Ovis aries: one gene and its partners. The protein of the gene in region 1 interacts with the protein of each later gene in a pairwise test. Links are inferred from orthologs where the notes say so. Each region holds a gene or a part of one and is shown on either strand. Other genes may lie near its edges. The genes, in order: NAPB, STX6, STX5, STX16 and STX4.

What was found.
Region 2: the proteins of NAPB (region 1) and STX6 interact in binary tests that used the Homo sapiens proteins (3 or more experiments, as listed by UniProt). The two-hybrid records come from large-scale screens. The link is inferred for Ovis aries from reciprocal best matches to the Homo sapiens genes NAPB and STX6.
Region 3: the proteins of NAPB (region 1) and STX5 interact in binary tests that used the Homo sapiens proteins (3 or more experiments, as listed by UniProt). The two-hybrid records come from large-scale screens. The link is inferred for Ovis aries from reciprocal best matches to the Homo sapiens genes NAPB and STX5.
Region 4: the proteins of NAPB (region 1) and STX16 interact in binary tests that used the Homo sapiens proteins (3 or more experiments, as listed by UniProt). The two-hybrid records come from large-scale screens. The link is inferred for Ovis aries from reciprocal best matches to the Homo sapiens genes NAPB and STX16.
Region 5: the proteins of NAPB (region 1) and STX4 interact in binary tests that used the Homo sapiens proteins (3 or more experiments, as listed by UniProt). The two-hybrid records come from large-scale screens. The link is inferred for Ovis aries from reciprocal best matches to the Homo sapiens genes NAPB and STX4.

Annotation. Positions count from the first base shown.
Region 1 is NC_056066.1:41,614,635-41,618,147, reverse strand, and holds part of NAPB (beta-soluble NSF attachment protein), read left to right. Parts: intron 1-2,617; coding exon 2,618-2,734; intron 2,735-3,513. UniProt on the Homo sapiens protein: Required for vesicular transport between the endoplasmic reticulum and the Golgi apparatus.
Region 2 is NC_056065.1:61,535,929-61,540,121, forward strand, and holds the start of STX6 (syntaxin-6), read right to left. Parts: upstream 2,813-4,193; 5' UTR 2,586-2,812; coding exon 2,551-2,585; intron 1-2,550. UniProt on the Homo sapiens protein: SNARE promoting movement of transport vesicles to target membranes. Targets endosomes to the trans-Golgi network, and may therefore function in retrograde trafficking.
Region 3 is NC_056074.1:37,649,242-37,652,991, reverse strand, and holds the end of STX5 (syntaxin-5), read left to right. Parts: intron 1-2,500; coding exon 2,501-2,660; 3' UTR 2,661-3,246; downstream 3,247-3,750. UniProt on the Homo sapiens protein: Mediates endoplasmic reticulum to Golgi transport.
Region 4 is NC_056066.1:57,386,931-57,390,443, forward strand, and holds part of STX16 (syntaxin-16), read right to left. Parts: intron 3,411-3,513; coding exon 3,245-3,410; intron 2,211-3,244; coding exon 2,119-2,210; intron 1,571-2,118; coding exon 1,427-1,570; intron 826-1,426; coding exon of another isoform or gene 808-825; exon of another isoform or gene 701-807; intron 695-700; exon of another isoform or gene 508-694; intron 58-507; coding exon 1-57. UniProt on the Homo sapiens protein: SNARE involved in vesicular transport from the late endosomes to the trans-Golgi network.
Region 5 is NC_056077.1:27,673,196-27,677,480, forward strand, and holds the start of STX4 (syntaxin-4), read left to right. Parts: upstream 1-1,472; 5' UTR 1,473-1,757; coding exon 1,758-1,787; intron 1,788-1,974; coding exon 1,975-2,076; intron 2,077-2,189; coding exon 2,190-2,289; intron 2,290-2,424; coding exon 2,425-2,499; intron 2,500-3,001; exon of another isoform or gene 3,002-3,226; coding exon 3,227-3,297; exon of another isoform or gene 3,298-4,285. UniProt on the Homo sapiens protein: Plasma membrane t-SNARE that mediates docking of transport vesicles. Necessary for the translocation of SLC2A4 from intracellular vesicles to the plasma membrane.

The DNA of each region.
Region 1 (3,513 bases):
TCCTAATGAGTCGGCTCTTCGCTTCAGGTGGCCAAAGTATTCAAGCTTCAGGTTCAGCATCGGTCTTTCCAGTGAGTATTCAGGGTTGATTTCCTTTAGGATGGAATGGTTGGATCTCCTTGCTGTCCAAGGGACTCTCAATAGTCTTCTCCAACACCACAGTTCAAAAGCATCTGTTCTTCAGGGCTCAGCCACCTTTATGGTCCATGGTCCAACTTTCACATCCATACATGACTGTTGGAAAAACCAGGATCAGATCCAGTAATAATATGTAAAAAGTGATCTTATCTAAAAAGACCTTTTCCTTTGTTTATCTGGGGACCAGATGTTCTAACCTTTGAAAGTTCCTTTCAGAGGAGTGTTACTGTTTATGTGACTGAAGGGGATATATGTATACCCTCACCCCTACCCTTGTGATCTCTTGCCTGGGCTGACATCTCCCTGCCTCTTGACTTTACCTGTTTGTTTTAATGAAGAAACCAAAGTAGCCCTGTTAAGTCTCTGGTCAGGCCATGTAATCTCAGGGCAGAGCCATAATCCCTCAAGGTGGCCTTCAGAGTCTAGCTGCTCTCCCATCCTCTCCTCACTCTGGACGCTTCTCCTACCTGCCCACTTCTTCCCTGGCTCCCCCTCTGACTCTCTGCCTGTGCTGTCCTCTGACACTGTCTTCCCCACCGTAGGGTGTGGCTAGTCCCTATTTTCCTCCAGGCCCTTCTACAAATGTCATCATCCTCTTAGTGAGGTCTCTCCTGGCCATCCCTGGCGGTCCACTCTCCTGGGAAGCCCCTTCCCCTCTTCCCTGATGCCCTTACCACCATCTAGCAAAAATAAGTGAAGTCCATTTGTTTGTTTGTATTGTCTGTGCTTTTAGTATGTGCTATCCCTCCCTGGAACATAAACCTTGGATGACCAGCGTGTTTCTGGAAGCTTTCTCTCTGCCCTGCCTGCAGGGCCTGGACCCATATGTGCAGCACAGTAGACAGGTGCTCAGTGTATTTTACAGAGTATTAGGTTCCTTGAATTTGGGACTAACAGATACCACAGTTTATAAAATAAACAACAAGGACCTACCGTATGTCACAAGAAACTAAACTAGGTATTTTATAATAGCCTATAAAGGAAAAGAGTCTGAAAATGAATATATATATACACACACACACACACACATATAACTGAAACCGTTTGCTGTACATCAAACTAACACAACATTGTGAATCTACTATACCTCAATTTTAAAAGTGGTTAAAAAAGGAAATAATAAACTGAAAGAAAATTAGGTTCTTTGAAATTGTTTCCATGTTGTGGTGGTAGTGATCATGATACCACTGCATCTCATCTCTTTATAGTTTTAGAAGTTATTTTATGAGGATAAAAGAATTTGTCTGATTTGTCTGCTACTCTGCTCTTGAGAGGTCATCCTGGCAGGAATTAGATGTTTACAGTTGAGGAAACTGGGTCTGAGAATGTGTGTAACTTTATTTTAATAATATGCTCCTTTAAAGATACTTCCACATTGGTAGAGACAGAGGTTAGTGGTGTTTGGACTGAGTGCTCAGATTGAAAAGGTGAGTCAGCAGCTTGTTTTGGAAGGTGGGAGCGTGAAATTGTCAAAGCAGTGCTTTCAATACTGTCCGGGGAAGTGGAGCCAGCCCAGGAGAGCCTGCGTGCTGTGCTGTTACCCCCAGCCAGGAAGGGATGGAACACCATTGGTTCTGGGATGGCCAGCATAGATAAACTGTCAAAAAATGAAATTACTGGTGGGAGGAGGAGAATTAAGTTGTAAAATAAATGATGACATTTCAACCTGGCAAAGCACAGGTGTGCTCTGAGGGCAGATATACATGTAGTTATGGAAATGGCCAGCACGTGAATGTGTTTCTGGGGCCACGCTGTCCTGAGCACTTTGCCTAGGAGGTCCGAGTGATGCTACACACTTCTGAGACCCAGCTCATCAGAGCTGCTCTTGGGCTGTTGCATTCCTGAGCTGTGGTGGGAAGTTTCCAGCTACCCGGAGGTCCTAGGTACCTGCCCACCACTTGGCAGCAGCTTGGACCCTCCTCTGGGCTGCCAGGTTCATGATCCACAAAGGTAGGGGTCAAGGCCTGGTGGGCAGGCTTCTCCAGTCCCCCCTCCAATCTTGGGCCAGCGTTGGCTCAGACTGCCAGGGCCCAGGCTACACTGGTGGGTCCATATCTTCAGAAGTGCCCGGAAGTCCTCTTGTCCTGTGCAGAGCAAGACTTGAAGCGGGGTGGTCTGATCTGGGGGCTTGTGATGCTGCTGCTGCTTGTGTTGCCATTTCTCCGGCTATGCCGGCCGAGTCAGTAGAAATGGATCCTCCCAGCCTCATGCCTCCTCAGAGACGCCCATCAGTGTGGGGCCTGCACTGGGGACGGAGCTGAGTGCTAAGTGCGCAGTCAGTGTGGACGGAGGCCTGAGGCTGAGAGCAGCGCTTGTTGCTGGCCCATTGGGTCCCAGGCATCTTTGTGGCCACCGGCAGTGACCGGGTCACATGCACGTGTGCCACTGTCAGGACGGGGCCTTCCCCAGGCGTGGGCTGGAGTGGGGCTGCCCCGGGGGTGGCTGCTCCTGTGTTGACTCACTCATGTGTCGTCTTCAGCTGCAGGAAATGCATTCTGTCAAGCCGCCAAGCTCCACATGCAGCTGCAGAGCAAACACGACTCAGCCACCAGCTTTGTGGACGCCGGGAACGCCTACAAGAAGGCGGACCCCCAAGGTGAGCCTCGCACCCCCAGACCTCCCACGAGTTCTGCTGCTGGAGGGAGACGCACTCCCCAACTGTGGAGATTTGGAGATTTTTAACCCTGATCATCTGAAGTTTCTGTGGAGAAACTCTGTTAAATTTATCCTGTTGTCAGTACCGTCTTCTGAAACACCATCTATGCTGCATTGTGGACAGTTTTTTGGAAATTAACTTTATCTAAGTCTTCTAATGTTAATTTCATGAGTGTGTACCTTGCCCACTAAGGGAAACAAAGGTTCGTTCCCTTACTTCTGAATAGTTTATGTGGAGATGCAGTGAACGGGAGGTCGTAAAATCCAATAATTACGAACAGTTTATACACACAGCATTCATCTGACTTTTTTAGTATGTGTGCTGCCAAAGCAAGTACTATCTGACTGTATTAAAAAGCATTTTTCCAAGTGTTGGTTTTGAGGAAAGAATGATCTTGGGTATTTGAAGTGGTGAAGTTTTTCAGATGTCCTTTGTTTTTGAGGTGGAGAAGCGTACACTCTGCAGTTGAAGGCCTGACCTCGCTCCACACATGCCCTGTGGTTGTGGGATCGCCCTCCTGTTTCAGCAGCCCATTTAACACAGAAATCCCGAGTTTCCTGACAATCTCACACTGAAATAAGGGCTGTGGTATAAGGATTAGCTGTAGTTTATTTCCAAAGGGGAAAACTGGGCACAGCCCGCATGCACAGTAGAGTCCTTGCACATCAGCATTTAGTGCCACGCCCGCGTGGTGCAGGCACTCAAGCCCTGACGTTCGG
Region 2 (4,193 bases), on another chromosome or scaffold:
GGACGCCACATGTGACTGCCGAACTACACCAGCCTGACTGTGGCACTAAGTTTTAAATTTTAATTAATTTAAAATTTAAAACTGATACTCAAATGCACTTACCAAAAATTTTAAAAATATACTTGGAACAGTTTGGGTATGTGAATCTACTTTTTCAACTGTAAGTTTAACGGATTCTAAAAACAGATCAAGTGTCTCTGATGAAAATTCAGCATCCAAATTGAGATGTGCTGTAAGTGTAAAACACACACCAGATTTGAAGACAGCACAAAAAGGGTGAGAGTCTTCGTTAATAATCTTTATAATTATCATGTTGAAATATTTTGACTATATCAGGTTATCGATGACATTAAAATTAACTTTACATGTTTTTCACTTTCCCTGTGTCTACTAGGAAATGTAAAATGGCATGTGTGGCTCACACTGCATTCTGGAGAACACTCGTCCAACAAAACCAAGGCAGACGCAAGAGGAAAGAGACTGGAAGCAGGAAGACCAATTAGAAACTCTTCTTGATGAGTCCAGGAAAGACACCCAGGACTGAATCACCTAAGTGATACCCATCTTCAAAACCCAATTCAAGACCTGCTACTACGTCCAAAGCTTTTCCAATTGTAACCTGTCCTAATGGGATGCCTTTCTCCAAACTACTAGGGGACTTAATCATCTGTAGGATTCACTTCAGCACTTAACCATTTCCACCAGTCATTTCTACTTAATTATTGGGTGACTTGTTTCTCAGATTAGACTACCAGCTCCTAGGCTAAAGGTCACAATTTAGGCTTCTTTCATTTTTCCACATCATGCAGTGAGTGTATTTTCAAAACTTTTAATAAACAGAGGTACATGGCTCCCCATATATTTCACCACATTATCTGGAGACATGTAGTTAATTTTACTTCTCCATAGCAAAAGGTTTTAATATCTTAAAGATATGAGCTAAAACAATGTACAAGTCAAACAAGACTCCTGACCAATGTTCCAATAAAGCAGTGATATCTAATCAGTGAGCAAGCCCTGGCAAACTGTACTATCAGGAAAAAAAGTCAAGATGGCAGAGCAATTTAGCATTTTCACAAATTCCATTTTAAAATGAAACAAAAAATTTTGATTATCTACAGCCTCCACTGCCAGACATAACCTTTGAAACCTAAGAATTAAGAATGTTTAAAGGAAAAACACACAGCTTTCACATTTAAAAATTAACCCCTAAAAAAAAATCAATTCTTCTAATAACATTTTCCAGGTAGAGATCTATGTATTATTAATCATCTAAACTCAGATTTTCCCACCTAAAGTCAGGTAAAGGCAAAAATATTTAGGGAAATGTTAAAATATATATAAATGTATCTTACTGTATCATGGATAATAAAGTATTTCACCTAGAGTATCACTTAAATTTTCTTAGAAGAACCTTTAAAAAAAAAAAAATCACATACACCCTCAAGCAACTGGTCAGCTTTTACCCTTACAGAAATAGAAATAGGGAGCTAGGAACTAGCTGAAAGCAAAGCAGTACTTTAGGGTGATTAGCACTGATCTCTCAGGAACTTTGCAGTTCTCAAATTTTTAACGTGTTTGACATTTAAAACAAAAGTTGTAACAACAAGATCCATCTTCCCTGAATTTGTTTAATGGCTACAAAGCCTATGTAACAGAGTGCCAAGTTTCTGGGTATCTGCAAACAACTGAGCAATCAAAGATGGAGTCACGACAGCTCACAGAGAAAAATAAGTTTAAGGCTATTCGAGTCTGAAAGGCAGAGGAAGAAATGGGGGAAACCTGTCAAACAGCCTGGATGAAATCAGGGAGTTAAAAAGCAAGCGCTCATTTCCTTTAGCACTGTGGGAAAAACCCAGTGCTAACAGAAAGCTAAGGAAAGTTTAGTTTGGCTGATTTCATTTTGTTTTCCTTCCAACATCATCACTGAGTTTGAACGGCTGCTTTCCTCCCCTCCCATTACTCAGTAAAAACTCCCCCACTGAATTGAGTCGTCTTCCGGAGCCAGGCGCCCCCGCCTCCAAGCCTGCTAACGTGCTCAGACGCCTCTGGGCATGTTGTGGTCTCACCAGTCTGCGGGGCCAGCGCTCCGAACTCAATGGACAATAGGAGCTCACCCCCGTCTACGCCAACTACAAAGCTCAGGAGGGCCATTTCCCTTTTCCTGCCCAGATGCTGTTTTTCCCCCTTCGAAGCAGGGCCCCGTGCTCCACTAAAGCCCCAGTTTGGTCTGGGACGCCTAAGCTCCCTTCCCACCTGCAGAAATGCTGAACCCCTCCTCCCGTTCAAACAAGTTATAGGGCAGCGCACAGGCCAAAGGGGACCCCCTTCCCAGGGGCTTGACTGGGGGCGTGGGTTTCAAAGTTCAGGTAGGACGGGAAAGGGAGGTCTCTGGACACTTGATCATGGCCCTCCAGGCTAAGCCGTCCCCACTGTCCCCACGCCAGCCTCTACTTGCCTCCCATCCCCCCTACAACGAGGAGAGGCGGGGAGGTGCGGGCAGGCAGCACGGCCACCGCCTCTTCCAGTGGAGCCCTCGGCAACACTCACCCTTTCACCACAAAGAAGGGGTCCTCCATGGACATGGCGTCCCGGCCCCCGGCCGCCTCACGTTTGCTCCGCGCACAGGGCGCCCGCGCCCTCCAAATTTCCCTCTGCCCACCCTATGCGCCTCGCGTAGCGGCCCGCGCCTCGGCCTGAGGGTCCCGAAGCCTCTGCGCGCGCAGGGCGGGGTGCACCGGCCAGCCGCTGGTCCAGCACTCGATGGGCACTGCAGACCAAATCCAGACTCTGGAGCCGGCCCCGCGGCTGTACCCTCCCCCGACTCCTCCCGGAGCGTCCGGCCGCCTGGCTCCGCCCCCAGGTTCCTCAGCCTCGGCCAATCACGAACGCCATCCGCCGCACCACTTCCGCACCCGTGCACACGTGATCACTGCCGACCCCGCCCCTCGTTGCCGGGTCCTAGGCACCTTGTCACACGACCCTGGAGGCGGGGCTCTGGGGGCGGCGGAAGAGGGCGGGTATTCTCTCCACTCGCCCCTCAGGATTCAGGGGCCGGAGCTGCTTGTCCCTACGCGGGAAAGGCATTCAGGTGTCCTAGGTATGCATTAGTATCTCCTTTGCATAATTCTTTCACCTTTCCTCTACTTTTGATACTTGATTTTGAAAACATATTGATTTAGAAATCCATCTCGTCCTCCACTTACAATAAAGCCTGCTCGTATACATTATCTGACTATATTGCACAACTTTATGTAGGTCTTACTATATCCAACAATGCGCTGAAGGCTGTATGTACATCATCTCAATATTCTTGGGGGGAAGGTATTATTACCATTTAGTAGATGAGAAAAGTTCAAAGAGGCTTCGAGATACAACCTGGACAGGGCAATCAGAGAATCTGTGCACTTTCCACCAGACGGCTGTGTTTTCTATTGCTGTGTACCTTTCTCGAAGTGACCAGTAAGATAATTTTTTCATACAGCATGTGATGCTTCCCAGGAGAAAGAACTTTTGAGGGACAAAGGAGGGGCCAGATATGGCAACTTCTTCTGAGCTAAATGGTTCAAAAGCACTTCCCAAAAGTATTTTGGTCAGAACAGTTATCAAATTCATATGCTAGATATGCTATGGGGTTTGTGAACATTAATTGCTGATTATCTTTGAGCACTTCCTGTATGTCAGGCACTGTGCGAGTGTTATCTCAGTTGCTCTCAGGAGGTAATTACTGTTGTTATCCCCATTTTACAAATGAGAAATCTGAGACTCTTGCAGGTTAAGTGACTTGCTTAAAGTACCAGTCTTTTTGGAGATGGAAGAGTCCTTTGAACCAGACAAATCCTGTTTGAACCTGAGTTCTGTTATTCAGTCCCTCATCTATAAAGCGTGCACAATAATATTTAGCTTGTGGATCGTTGTGAGGGTTAAATAAAAATGCACGGAAACCCCAAGGCCCCAAGGAAGTAAGGCAGTGAAGTCAGGGAAACTAGTCTGGAAGCTGCTGTGGTCATCCAGCCTGAAGGGCTGAGGACCAGAATAGGACAGCAGAGCAATTGTAAATGGAGAGGAAGCAGACAATCTGATAGGTATTTCCAAGGAAAAACAAAAACACCTAGACGTGGTGAAAGGCTGAATGGGGTTAAGGGGGAGAGAGGTGAAAATCAGACTCCAGGCTTCTCTGAGACCCTGGAGGA
Region 3 (3,750 bases), on another chromosome or scaffold:
CCCTGGTGGTCCAGTGGCTAAGACTCTGCACTCCCAGTGCAGGGGGCCTGGGTTCAATCCCTCGTCAGGGAACTAGATCCCACACGCTGCAACTAAGAGATCTTGCGTGCCGAAACTAAGACCTGGTGCAGCCAAATAAATATTTTAAAACAAATAAAGAACAATAAATAAACAAGGCTGTGTGCATGTAAAAAAAAAAAAGTAGGTGCAAACATCATGACAGTTTTTTCAAACATCGTGTGTTATCCCCAGATACTTCAGCAAGCATCTGCCAAGAATAAGTATTTCTCCTGAACAGCCACAATATCATGAAGTGAAAGTGAAGTCACTCAGTCCTGTCCGACTCTTTGCGAGCCCGTGGACTGTAGCCCACCAGGTTCCTCTGTCCATGGGATTCTCCAGGCAAGAACACTAAAGTGGGTTGCCATTTCCTTCTCCAGGGGATCTTCCCAACTGAGAGATCGAACCTGGGTCTCCTGCATTGCAGGCAGATGCTTTACCCTCTGAGCCACCATCAAACCTAAGAAATTGAACACTTCTCCAACACAACCCAATAATCAATCCATACTCAGATTTCCCCAACTCTTCGAAAAAAATTTAGCCTTTTCCTTTCAATTTAAGATTTAGACAACATTCATACATTGAATTGTTGTGTCTCTTTAGTCTGCCTTTTTGAGTGTGTGTGATAATTTACTTTGTTTTTAAGAGACCAGTACCTCTTATACAAAGTCATAGACATGTTTTTGTCCGATGTTTGTCCCTCTGATTAAATTAAGTTCAGTAGTTTCAGCCATCCCTGTAGGCAGTCATATCAGTAGACACTTGATGAGGTTCTCTTTATTGGTGATACCCTGTTTGGTCTCTTGTTCAAGGTGGTGACACTCAGACTTAAGTCATCAGTGGAGTGACACTTTGAGTCCTCTGTGCACTGTTTGTCCCTATGATTAAGTTCAGTACTTTCGGCCGGCTGTGTAGGTGATCACATCAGGAAGCACTTGATGAGGTTACCTCTTTATCGGCCTGCTGGTGATCCTTGTCTGATTTGTTTGAGAGTGTGTGTGGCAAAATGGTCATTTTCTAATTTGCTCATTTCTTCTACGTTAATTAGCTTATATTCTTCCATAAAGAAGGAACTTCCTCTCTTTAAAATTACTATTGAGTGATAGTAACTTCTTCCCTTGCACTAGTTTTCATTCACAGACTCCCATTTAAAATCTTTTATATGCCAGATTGCATTCATCATTCTTCCATTTTTGTTAAGTGAAGCCATTATAATTGCCAATATGATTGAGCTTTATTGGGTATGAGATGACAAGTGCATCCACACTGAGAAATGTAATTATACCAAAAACTAGGGAACCTAATACTTTAGCCTCTCTGACATAAATAGGGAGTCATGTAGAATCCAGGCTTCTGCATTTGGACAGAGATTAGGTTGTCATTCTCCTGACCACCTTACCAGGAACTTGGGCTTGCAGCCAGTGGCCCAGCCTTTCCTCTCACTTTCTTCCTTGATTATCAGGCTCCACCAACTTTTCTGACCTCACAGCTCCTAAAGGTCCCTGCTTCCAGTGACTCCCTTTGCAAAGACCAGGGTTTATATTTGGTTTTTAGGATTGTATATGCAGATTAGCTGGGAAATGTTTGATTTTCCTCAGCAATGTCTCAAGTGATTGCCATTCTTCTGAGGGCTTCTCTATATCCTAAGAGACATGTTCTAATATAGGGCTTTTCTCATCCCTTGATGTTCTGTCCATATCATCAGGTTCTTCCTTTCTCACTTAGAATAAGGGTTTCCTGACCATGATTTTCTGTAACCTTTCCCCCCTTATTACAAATCAGTACTGTTTATTAGAGGCTTCCCAGGTGGCCCTAGTGGCCTGCCCATGCAGGAGACGCAAGAGACACAGGTTCAAGCCCTGGTTGGGGAGATCCCGTGGAGAGGGAAATGGCAACCAGCTCCAGTATTGCTACCTGGAAAATCCCCTGGACAGAGGAGACTGGCTGGCTTCAGTCCATGAGGTTGCAAAGAGTTGGACACAACTGACCACATATTGTTACTTAGACAAAAATTAGTAAATACCGATGAGCAAAAAGTTATGTAGACATTTTGGATTCTCTTAGTATGGGTTGGGCACTTTTATATAACTCGCTTAGGCCTGACAAGGAACCTAGGATTTATATTATCTCGTTTTTTCTTCCTTTGCAGTTGAGGGAAATGAGACTTGAGGTTAAATGAGTGGCTTAGGTTCATTAGCTAATAAGTTGCAGAGCCAAGAATTGTTATATTACCCTTCCAGAGCTTTTTCCTCTATGTGTTCATGCTGAATTACTTCAGTTGTGTCTGACTCTGTGGGACCCATGGACTATAGCCCGCCAGGCTCCTCTATCCAGGGGATTTTTTAGGCAAGAATATATACATACATAAAAAATAAAATTCAACAGCAGTCTTTTTAATCCAACATTCTTCTCTTTCCCCTCCTCCCGAACCTATCCTCAGGATCGACGAGAATGTGTTGGGAGCCCAGCTGGACGTGGAGGCCGCCCACTCAGAGATCCTCAAGTACTTCCAGTCGGTCACGTCCAACCGGTGGCTCATGGTCAAAATCTTCCTCATCCTCATTGTCTTCTTCATCATCTTCGTGGTCTTCCTTGCCTGAACCCTCTCCACTCTGAGGCACTCCATGGGGGTTTGGAACCCTTCTGGGAGGGCAGGTGGCCAGAGCTGCCACTGAGCCTGTGCAGGGTGCTTGGGAGAAGGGCCCTGTTTCCTTGGAACTGCTAAGAATGACCACTGCCCTCGGTCCCCCACTCCTTGCCTCTGGCCACCCAGCCCTCCCCTCACCACCCTCCAGCCCATGAAACACACACGGTTCTGGATTTGGACTCTGCTGTGAAGTGGCTGGAAAGGAGCAGAGGCCAACTGAGGGGCTCGTCCGGGAGATTGTCTCCACCAGGAGATTTTTATAAACCCTCCCCAGCCTGTCGCAAAGGGAACTTTGGCAGCAAGGGGAGATGATGCCTTTCCCCACCTTCCTGAGAGCAAGGAGAGGAAGTGAAACTGCCCCAGGGACCAACTTTCCCATCTGGGTTAGAATTTGACTTCTTCCTCTCCACGACATGAGGCAGGGGGCCCTGAGCCCCTCGGCGGCCTGCACAACCCCAACTTTGGCTGCAGGTGACTCTCAATCTGCCAAACGTGCTGCAGCCCGTTTTCTCCCAATTACAGCAAGACTGTCAGCCTCACTAGCCATGTCGTCATTTCTGGGTGGGAGCGCCGAAGAAGGGCCTAGGCAGAAATGGAGGGAGCCTGCTGCCCAGTATTACAACTGAAAGGGCTGGACTGATGACCCTGAGGGGCCAGGCTTTGGGCTCTGTATACACAGCTGCTTCCAGCAGGCCTAACCCAGTGCAGCAGTACTTAATTATCATGGAAAATTCCCTTCAAAGCAGGGTATACGATCCCAGAGTGGGTCTCTGATTAGTGGTAACTTCTAGGACCATCTCCAGAAGTATTTGGACCTGTTTCATCTGCATCTTCCAGTCCTACCGTTTTCCTTGGGCTGGATGAAGCAGGAGTTCTGCCTGCTGCCAGGAGTGAAAGGTGAAGAATTTGTTCCCAGCTCCAGCTGAGGCTCTTGGTCCCCTCTTGAAGCCCCTCACCAAATCCAAACCAGTCACAGGAGAATGAAGTAGAGATCTGCCTGGAATACCTACCCTACCCTGGAAGGTCAATATGCTTGTCAGTCC
Region 4 (3,513 bases), about 16 Mb from region 1:
TTCAGTTTTGATACAGGACTGCTCAACATTATAGTCGATTCTATCAAGGACGGTACCCTGGGTGATAAATGACAGTCACAGACAATCAACAAGCGCAACTGGGAAAATGGAGCTTCAGAAATGAGAGATGCAGATTGCAGGCATCGTCATCCACAGGATTATCTGTTCTACTTGACTGTGAGGTAAAGGGACACCCTGTCAGCTCTGGAGTCCATAACAAGCAGAGAGAGGTGCTCAGTGGCAGAGTGCTGCCGTTAGCTGCAGGAAAGCCCAGCTCATGAGAAGAAAATACTGACAAATTGAGGTTTCTTTTTTGGATTTAGCCACTACAGGACACTCCATATTCAGGCTTACTGGGGCTTTAAGAAATATATGGTTCAGTGGAAACAGGCTCTGAGTGGTGAAGGGCTTGCTTCTGTGCCCATCTGTGGCTTAAACTCACAGGTTCAAGGAACCAGAGAAGGCCAGTTAAGCTGGACCTGATTAGAACGAGGTCTGGAAACTTACTATCATGTCTGAGCATCTCCACGCGCCTCCATGCGTCAAAGCAAACACAGCTGCCTCCAACACACCATGTAAAATCACACGTTCACCTCCAGGAGAGTTTTGCTTGTAATTTTTTAATTGCTGGGTTCAAACAGGAAGAAGGGAACACCAGGCTCCACGGAAGGATGGGGCTCTGAACAGAAGTGTGCTGTGTCAGGAGAGACGATAGCGCTAACAGTTCCATGAGAGCCACGGGAGTAATTAACCTAACTAGATCTTCCACAGCCTTGTCTGCTCCAGTCTGCAGCTGGTTCCGGGGGATCAGGACCCAAATCCCCACTGGCAAGATAATAAAACACCCTAATCAGATTGTAACAGTGAACAAACAATCTAATTCTACTTGAGGGCTAGTGGTTCCAGTTGCCGTTACACAATAACCTGCCAAAATTAGATGGGAAAACTTATCCATCGTCAGAATCACCGCTGAGCGTGGCCAGAGCCAGCCAGGCCCCCGGCACGGAGGCTCCTGGCAACAGCCCTGGGATGGAGGCAGAGGACGTGAGTACTGTCACTGACACCTGTTTCTCATCTAAAAAATAGTTTATTAGTATTTTTATGGGGCATGACAGCAGTCTGCATATAATTTGTACACATATATACATACACACATACATAGTGAGTTGGGAAAACTCCCTGGAGTAGGAAACGGCAACCCACTCCAGTATTCTTGCCTGGGAGAATCCCACCGAGAGAGGAGCCTGGCGGGCTATAATCCATGGGGTCACAAAGAATCGGACACGACTGAGCAAACACACTGTATATACACAGAAGGAATGGGTTCCAACTGCTTTCCTGACAAAAGTGCAGAATCGAAAAGCCTGGGGAAGAATGAGGTATCAGGGCAGGAGAGCCCACCGATGAGGCAGGTAAACGCACATACCTGTTCTACGATCATGGCTCCCAGGTCCCTAAATATCTCGTTCAGGTCGGAGATGGACTGCACGATCTGGCGGATCTCCCGCTCCCTCTCCTCCACCAGCAGTGTGTTCTGCTCCACCAGCACTAGCTGCTCGTCTGTAAAACCCTAGCCAAACAAAGAGGACGAAACGTGCACGTTAGATTTCTTCCCAAGAAAGTGATGGTGTACCATTTTAGATATAACTTAAAGAAAATAAAATCTGAAACCATTTCCATAGAGCACACAACACACAAGCACTTATTTTTTCCCTAACAAGAAAGATCTGATCTCCCTGAAACAGCAGGCTCTAAAGCATCACCAGCCAAAGCGGGGGATACAGAGAACCCCCTGTCAGCAGCAACCCCAGGGCCAAGTGGCAAAAGCACCAGGGAGAAGCCTGTGCGGCTCAGGGTTCTTCCTGGGAGTGGGGTGTGCAGACTGTTTTCCAGAAGGTTCTGGAAGGCAGCTGACAAGGTCTCCGTGCAGTCTTTAGAAAGGAAGAAACAGTATGGCCCCCATGACTGTTCTCCCGCCAGCTGCAGAGCACTTGACAGACGTGCACGCCATGCAGTGCCGATCCATCTGTGTCTCAGGGAAGTTAAAGGTCCGCAAAGAGAAGAGAGCAGAGCGGAGCGCACATGCGCAGTGGGCGGGTCTGTGGCCCCGACACATACCCGGTCATACAGAGTATTATCCTCGCCATCGTCCATCAGCGGCACTGATGTAGCAAAAAAATGCTGGGATCTTTCCTCTCGATTCTTCATGCCTATCGTGGACAGGAATTCACTTTACTTGAATACGTAAACCATCCTGGTTACTGTTCCACCATTAAAAGGGGGCATCTAGAGTAAAACTCAACAGTCAAAATGGAGACATTCTTGGCCACTTTAGAAGAAGCCCTGCTCACCTCCAGCAGAGATGGGGGACAATAAAGGACCACAACCATGCAACAGCAGGCAAGCACTCAGGGTTACTTAGGACAGAAATCACACTGCAAATGTGAATAATTCACTGGATGCCAGGTAAATGACACTGCAACACCATCATCTGAGACTCTCTAAGTGAAGCAGAAACATTTAACTGCTGTTAAAAAGCATTTAAAACATTAAGTATTTCTCTCTAAAAGTACCTCTGGTAAGAATTCCAAGTGGCCCTAATCAAATTTTAGAAGTAGCAAAATGAAAGCACAAACACAAATATGGCAGTTGTCGGGAGGGAGAACTAGCTTTTGGGGGAGCCTATGGGGATATCATTGATTACAATGGCAATACAGAAAAAGCCAGTTTATGGGTGCTCTGAATGAGGATGTAGCTGAAACCTGACTTTGCTCTATTTGGGAAGGAAGGGAGGCTGGGAGAGAATGTGTCTGTTTTAACTATTACCAGGTAAGGTGTTAAGACAGATAGGCAAAGAAGCTTCAACATGATTACAACTATTTTTACCCATTTATCAGCAGCTCCCGCAAGCCTAACACCTAGAAAACGACATGCTTTTAAAATATGCAACATTGATTTTCGAATACTTTAAACTTGACAAAAGAGTAAGTTTCTCTTTTGTTTTTTTAGAGGAGGACTGTCAATGCCCCGTGGGGTGGTCTCAACCTCGATGTGGCTACCACTGGGGGCAGAAGGAGCTACCTTCTACCTCGTGAAGTAGGAGGATATGCAAAGGCTAACCACGAAAAAAGCAAAGGACAAAACGGAGAACTAGCAGAAGAGGAGGACAGAAACACAGAGTTGTTCTGTGACCTGAGCACTGGGACGCTCGTCACTTGAGAGCCTGGCGCAGGTGGACACTCACGTCGGAGGTAGCTGGACTGTGCATGCCGGAAGCTGGTGGACAGCTCCTGCAGGGCCTGGGCCAGCGAGGCCACCACGTTTCGGAGGAGCCGCTCCTCCTGCTCTGAGCAGGCCCGGCGGGCCCGGCTGGGCAGCGCCTGTACCGCACGCTGACACCTATGGAAGAGCTGGGAGGACAGGGGGTGCTCACAGTGGGCCGGGGGCCCCGAGGTGCCTGCATGCCGGACTGAGACACACAGCGGCTCTGGCCACGCAGGCTGGCACTGAGGA
Region 5 (4,285 bases), on another chromosome or scaffold:
CCAGGAGAACTAATATTCCTCTCAGCTATTCTGAGACTCACTGAGTGACTTTGGGGCATCCTTCTATAGAAGGTGGGTTCCAAAAGGGCAAGCCATTCTTGTCTGCCCTGTTATATCTCTGGCCCTAAAACAGTGTCTGGCCCATACAATAAATATCCACTGAATGAATAAATGCCTACAGGGTTAGGGTTAGGGAAGTGTCACCAAAAGCCTGAAGCATAAAAGAGAAGACCAGGGAATCATAAGCTTCATCTTCAGTTATATAAGAGGCTAAGACTCTATCAACAAATATTTACTGAGGGCCTAACATGTGCTGGGGTTCCTAGTTGGTTCAGTGGTAAAGAATCTGTCTGCCAGTGAAGAAGACACAAGAGATGCTGGTTCGATCCTTGGGTTGGGAAGATCCCCTGGAGGAGGAAATGGCAACCCGCTCTGGTATTCTTGCCTGGAAAATTGTATGGGCAGAGGAGCCTGGTGGGCTACAATTTGTGTGTGTTAGTCACTTAGTCGTGTCCGACTCTTTTGTGACCCCATGGACTGTAACCCTCCAGGCTCCTCTGTCCACAATCATGCCCTCACTTTAGTAACTCACAGGCCACGATAATATGTAATATTTTTGTGGGTTCCAGAGGGTAGACCCCCAGTGCAAGGTGGGGGTCTGGGGAGGGGGTTGTCTAAGTGACATGCTGCTCAATGTAACAGACTTTTTTCTAAGCCCGAGCTGCCCTGAAATGCCCTGCTCAAAGGTGGTGAGTGCAGCGGGACTGCAGTGTTCAAGCCGGGCGCCAGCCAGCCGCCCACCTGTCAGAAACTGTGCCAGGAGTATGCGGGAGAAGAGAGTTCCGCCTCGGGTGAGGTCACTTCCCACCCCCAGATGCTCTGCCTACAAAATCTCGCAAGTCTCTGACGCTGTATTTTATTCTTTTCTGAATTTCAAGGTCTCATGATGTTGACAGCTCCAAATTCTAAGTCCTCAGTCTGCCCACACTCGCGGACCCAAAAGAAAGGAAGCCGGATTCAGCCTGGGTCCTACCACCCACTGTCTCTGGGGGTAGTCAGCGCCCCCTCCCCGCCTCGCGGGGGTTCTGAAGAGAGGTAACTCGCGCGCGGGGTGCCGAGGACGTCGTGGGGAGATGGGTGTTCCAGAGATGGAGTTGACAGGGCAGAGACATGTGACAGTCGAAGCGTCACGTTCCGTGGTCTGAGAGGTTGGGACCAGGCCGGTCACATGACGCGCGCGGGGGGGTTTGCACTATGGGGTGATGCGAATTGAGAGGGCCTCACAGATCACGTACCAATGACGCATTCCCACCCCTTTTGGCAACTAGATTTCCGCTGGAAGATGCGATAGTTCCGGCAAAGGGGGCGGGTTCTCACGTCCTGGCAATTTCGCTTCCGTTCGGGGCGCTGAAGCTTCCGACCTCGGCCTTTCCCTGGGGTGGGGAAGGGACGCGATCCGGTGCGCATGCTCCAGTCTTTCCAGAGGGGGCGGGGCTGAGGCTACAGGAGAGGGCGGGGGGAAAGAAAAGGGAATTCCAACCTGTGGAATCTTGGGGGTCCCCGAGGTCGGCTCCTTCCCTTTGAAACTGTGAATGGTGCCAGGGACAGAGCCTCTAGCGACTCTTGGGGGAGGGTTTGGGGCCTGCAGGGTGAGGGCGGAGGGGAGTGTCAGAGTGTGAGTTGGGTACGGGAGTTCCAAACTTAGAATCTTGAGGCCCGCCGGGCTCCGGCGCCGGCGAGAGGGATCTCGGGCCGCCATGCGGGACAGGACCCACGAGCTGAGGCAGGTGAGAATTTGGCGCAGCAGGGTTGGGGACGGGTGGACGGGATGGGGTCTACTGGAATGCAGGACTCCTGGTCCTCGGGGCCGGGAGGGATGACTGTGGGCTAGGAAGGAAAGTCCCGGAAGCCCGTGAGTTCTACTGGGGGAGAGCAGTAGCAAGGAAGTGATGCCAGTGACCCCGGCCCTGGCAGGGGGATGACAGCTCGGACGATGAAGACAAGGAGCGAGTCGCGCTGGTGGTACACCCGGGTACTGCACGGCTGGGGAGCCCGGACGATGAGTTCTTCCAGAAGGTAAGAGGCTGGAGTCTCGGCCTGGATTCACGAGGGGCCTGGAGGGCCCGAGGAGCAGAGCAGCCTGGAGCAGCGCCCACATCTCCCTCAGCCCTCTCGGTCATCGTCCCCAGGTTCGGACAATTCGGCAGACTATCGTCAAGCTAGAGAATAAAGTCCGAGAGTTGGAGAAGCAGCAGGTCACCATCCTGGCCACGCCCCTTCCCGAGGAGAGTGAGTGAAACCCCGGGTGCAGAACGCATGCTCAGCTGGAGGCTTGTGGGGGTTGTAGTTCCACACAGGTGGTGGCCAGGGAGATTTGTTGAGGTAGAGGTTGCTATTTGGGCATCATGGCTTTCTCTTGTTTAGGCATGAAGCAGGACCTGCAGAACCTGCGTGACGAGATCAAACAGCTAGGGAGGGACATCCGCGCGCAGCTGAAGGGTGAGCTCCTAGGACTTTAGCCAGATACTTTCCTCTGATCCTGCCCAACTCCTGGTATTTCTGGGCAGTGTGTGGTCCAGAGAGGCCAGTGATATATATCCAGGTCACACAGCAGGCCAACGTCTAGAATCTCCATCTCCTGGCTTTCGGTCCAAAGTTCTTTCCACAGCATATGCCTGCCTCTCAAGTTCCCTTATTTATAATGAAACCATGTCCATTTGATCTTTGTCCAAGGCAGAGGTTAGCGTTGCTACCTCCACCTTCAGGTCGTTATCTGCATATAACTGTATAGTCTGCCGTCCACATCCCAGGTTCTGCAAGGGTGGATTCATGCAGTCATGGATTGTGTAGTACTGTAGTATGCATTTATTTTCTAAAAATTCAGGTATAAGTGGACCCACAGTTGTGCAAGGATCATCTGTACTCCTACAATTCTTGCTGCCCAGTGTGTATTCTTTGGGTGGGAAGATGTGGGTTTTGTTAGGAAGCTTCTCCAAACATGTGGGAATTCTCTGATGTATTTATTGCAAAGAAAAATATACTTTTGCCTGTCAGAGGCTCAAGAGTAGTCATTTATGATGAATTTTATTTCAAAAAAAAAGCTCTGTGGAGATATTGTATCTCTCTCTATTGTATGGCTGCATGGCTGGGTCCCAGTCCCCAAATGAATTTCAGAAGCCAGAGGTCAAACCCCCTCCTCTACCAATACTTCTGTGTCTTTCCACAGCCATAGAGCCCCAGAAGGAGGAAGCTGATGAGAATTATAACTCCGTCAACACAAGAATGAGAAAAACCCAGGTGGGTTCATTATTCCCAGAAGTAGGACATTTCAGCAAGTGTTCAATAGATCATTAGATGGCAGATGTAAGAAGGCAGGGCTCTTAGAGATCATTAAATCCAACCTGATGATTTTCCAAATGAGGAAACTGAGGCTCAGAGATAAAAAAGGATTTACCCCAAGGTCAAGAACCCGGGTTTCCTGACTTCCAATCTGTTATAACACCTTGCCTTCTTCTCCTCCATTCAGTGAGAAGTTGCTGAGACCCCAGACATGATCTGGGCTTGGTTGTAGGAGATATACTTTCTAGAAGCCAAGATGGGGAGTTAAGCTTGCATAGATGACAAAGACATTACTCAGGTAGGACTTGGTAGTTAATGGCTCTGCCCAGGGAAAAAAAGGGTGCAGTCAAGTGACTGGGTGGTTTCCTACCCATGTGATGAGGACATCCTCTGCCCCAAGGACAGAATTCAAGTCAGGAAGAGGAACTTCCCTGGTGTGTGTGTATGGGGAAGGTCACTGAATCATCATCTTAATAAGGAGATTTGAAATGGTCTGAGCAGTGTCCTCTGGGTGCCCAGAGAGGCATGGTTTGGAGTTCTTGGAGGTCAGAGTTGGAGTAGGTGGGCCCAGAAATCAGCAAAGACCCCAGATTGAAGATTAAACAATTTGGGGATTTTTTTTTTAATGGAAGAGAAGGAAAGAGTAGTTTTATTACTTTGCCAAACAAAGGGGGGAACACAGTAGGCTAGTGCCTCAAGAACTGCCCCCCCACAATTTGGGCATCTTGAAAGGGTGCAACTGAACCCAGGACAGCAGATGTGTCCTGGAGAAAGGAACTCCAAGGAATGAGCAGATTTTAGGCATCAGGAAAATGGACAAGCAGGGAAGGCATTTACAGGGGGTGGGGGGCTTGTGGTAGTCATTGTGTGAGAGGCTGAGTGCCCAGGTGGGCCTGCAAAATCTGGGAAATGCAAAATCCTGGCACACCTTTAGTCTAAGCAGGGA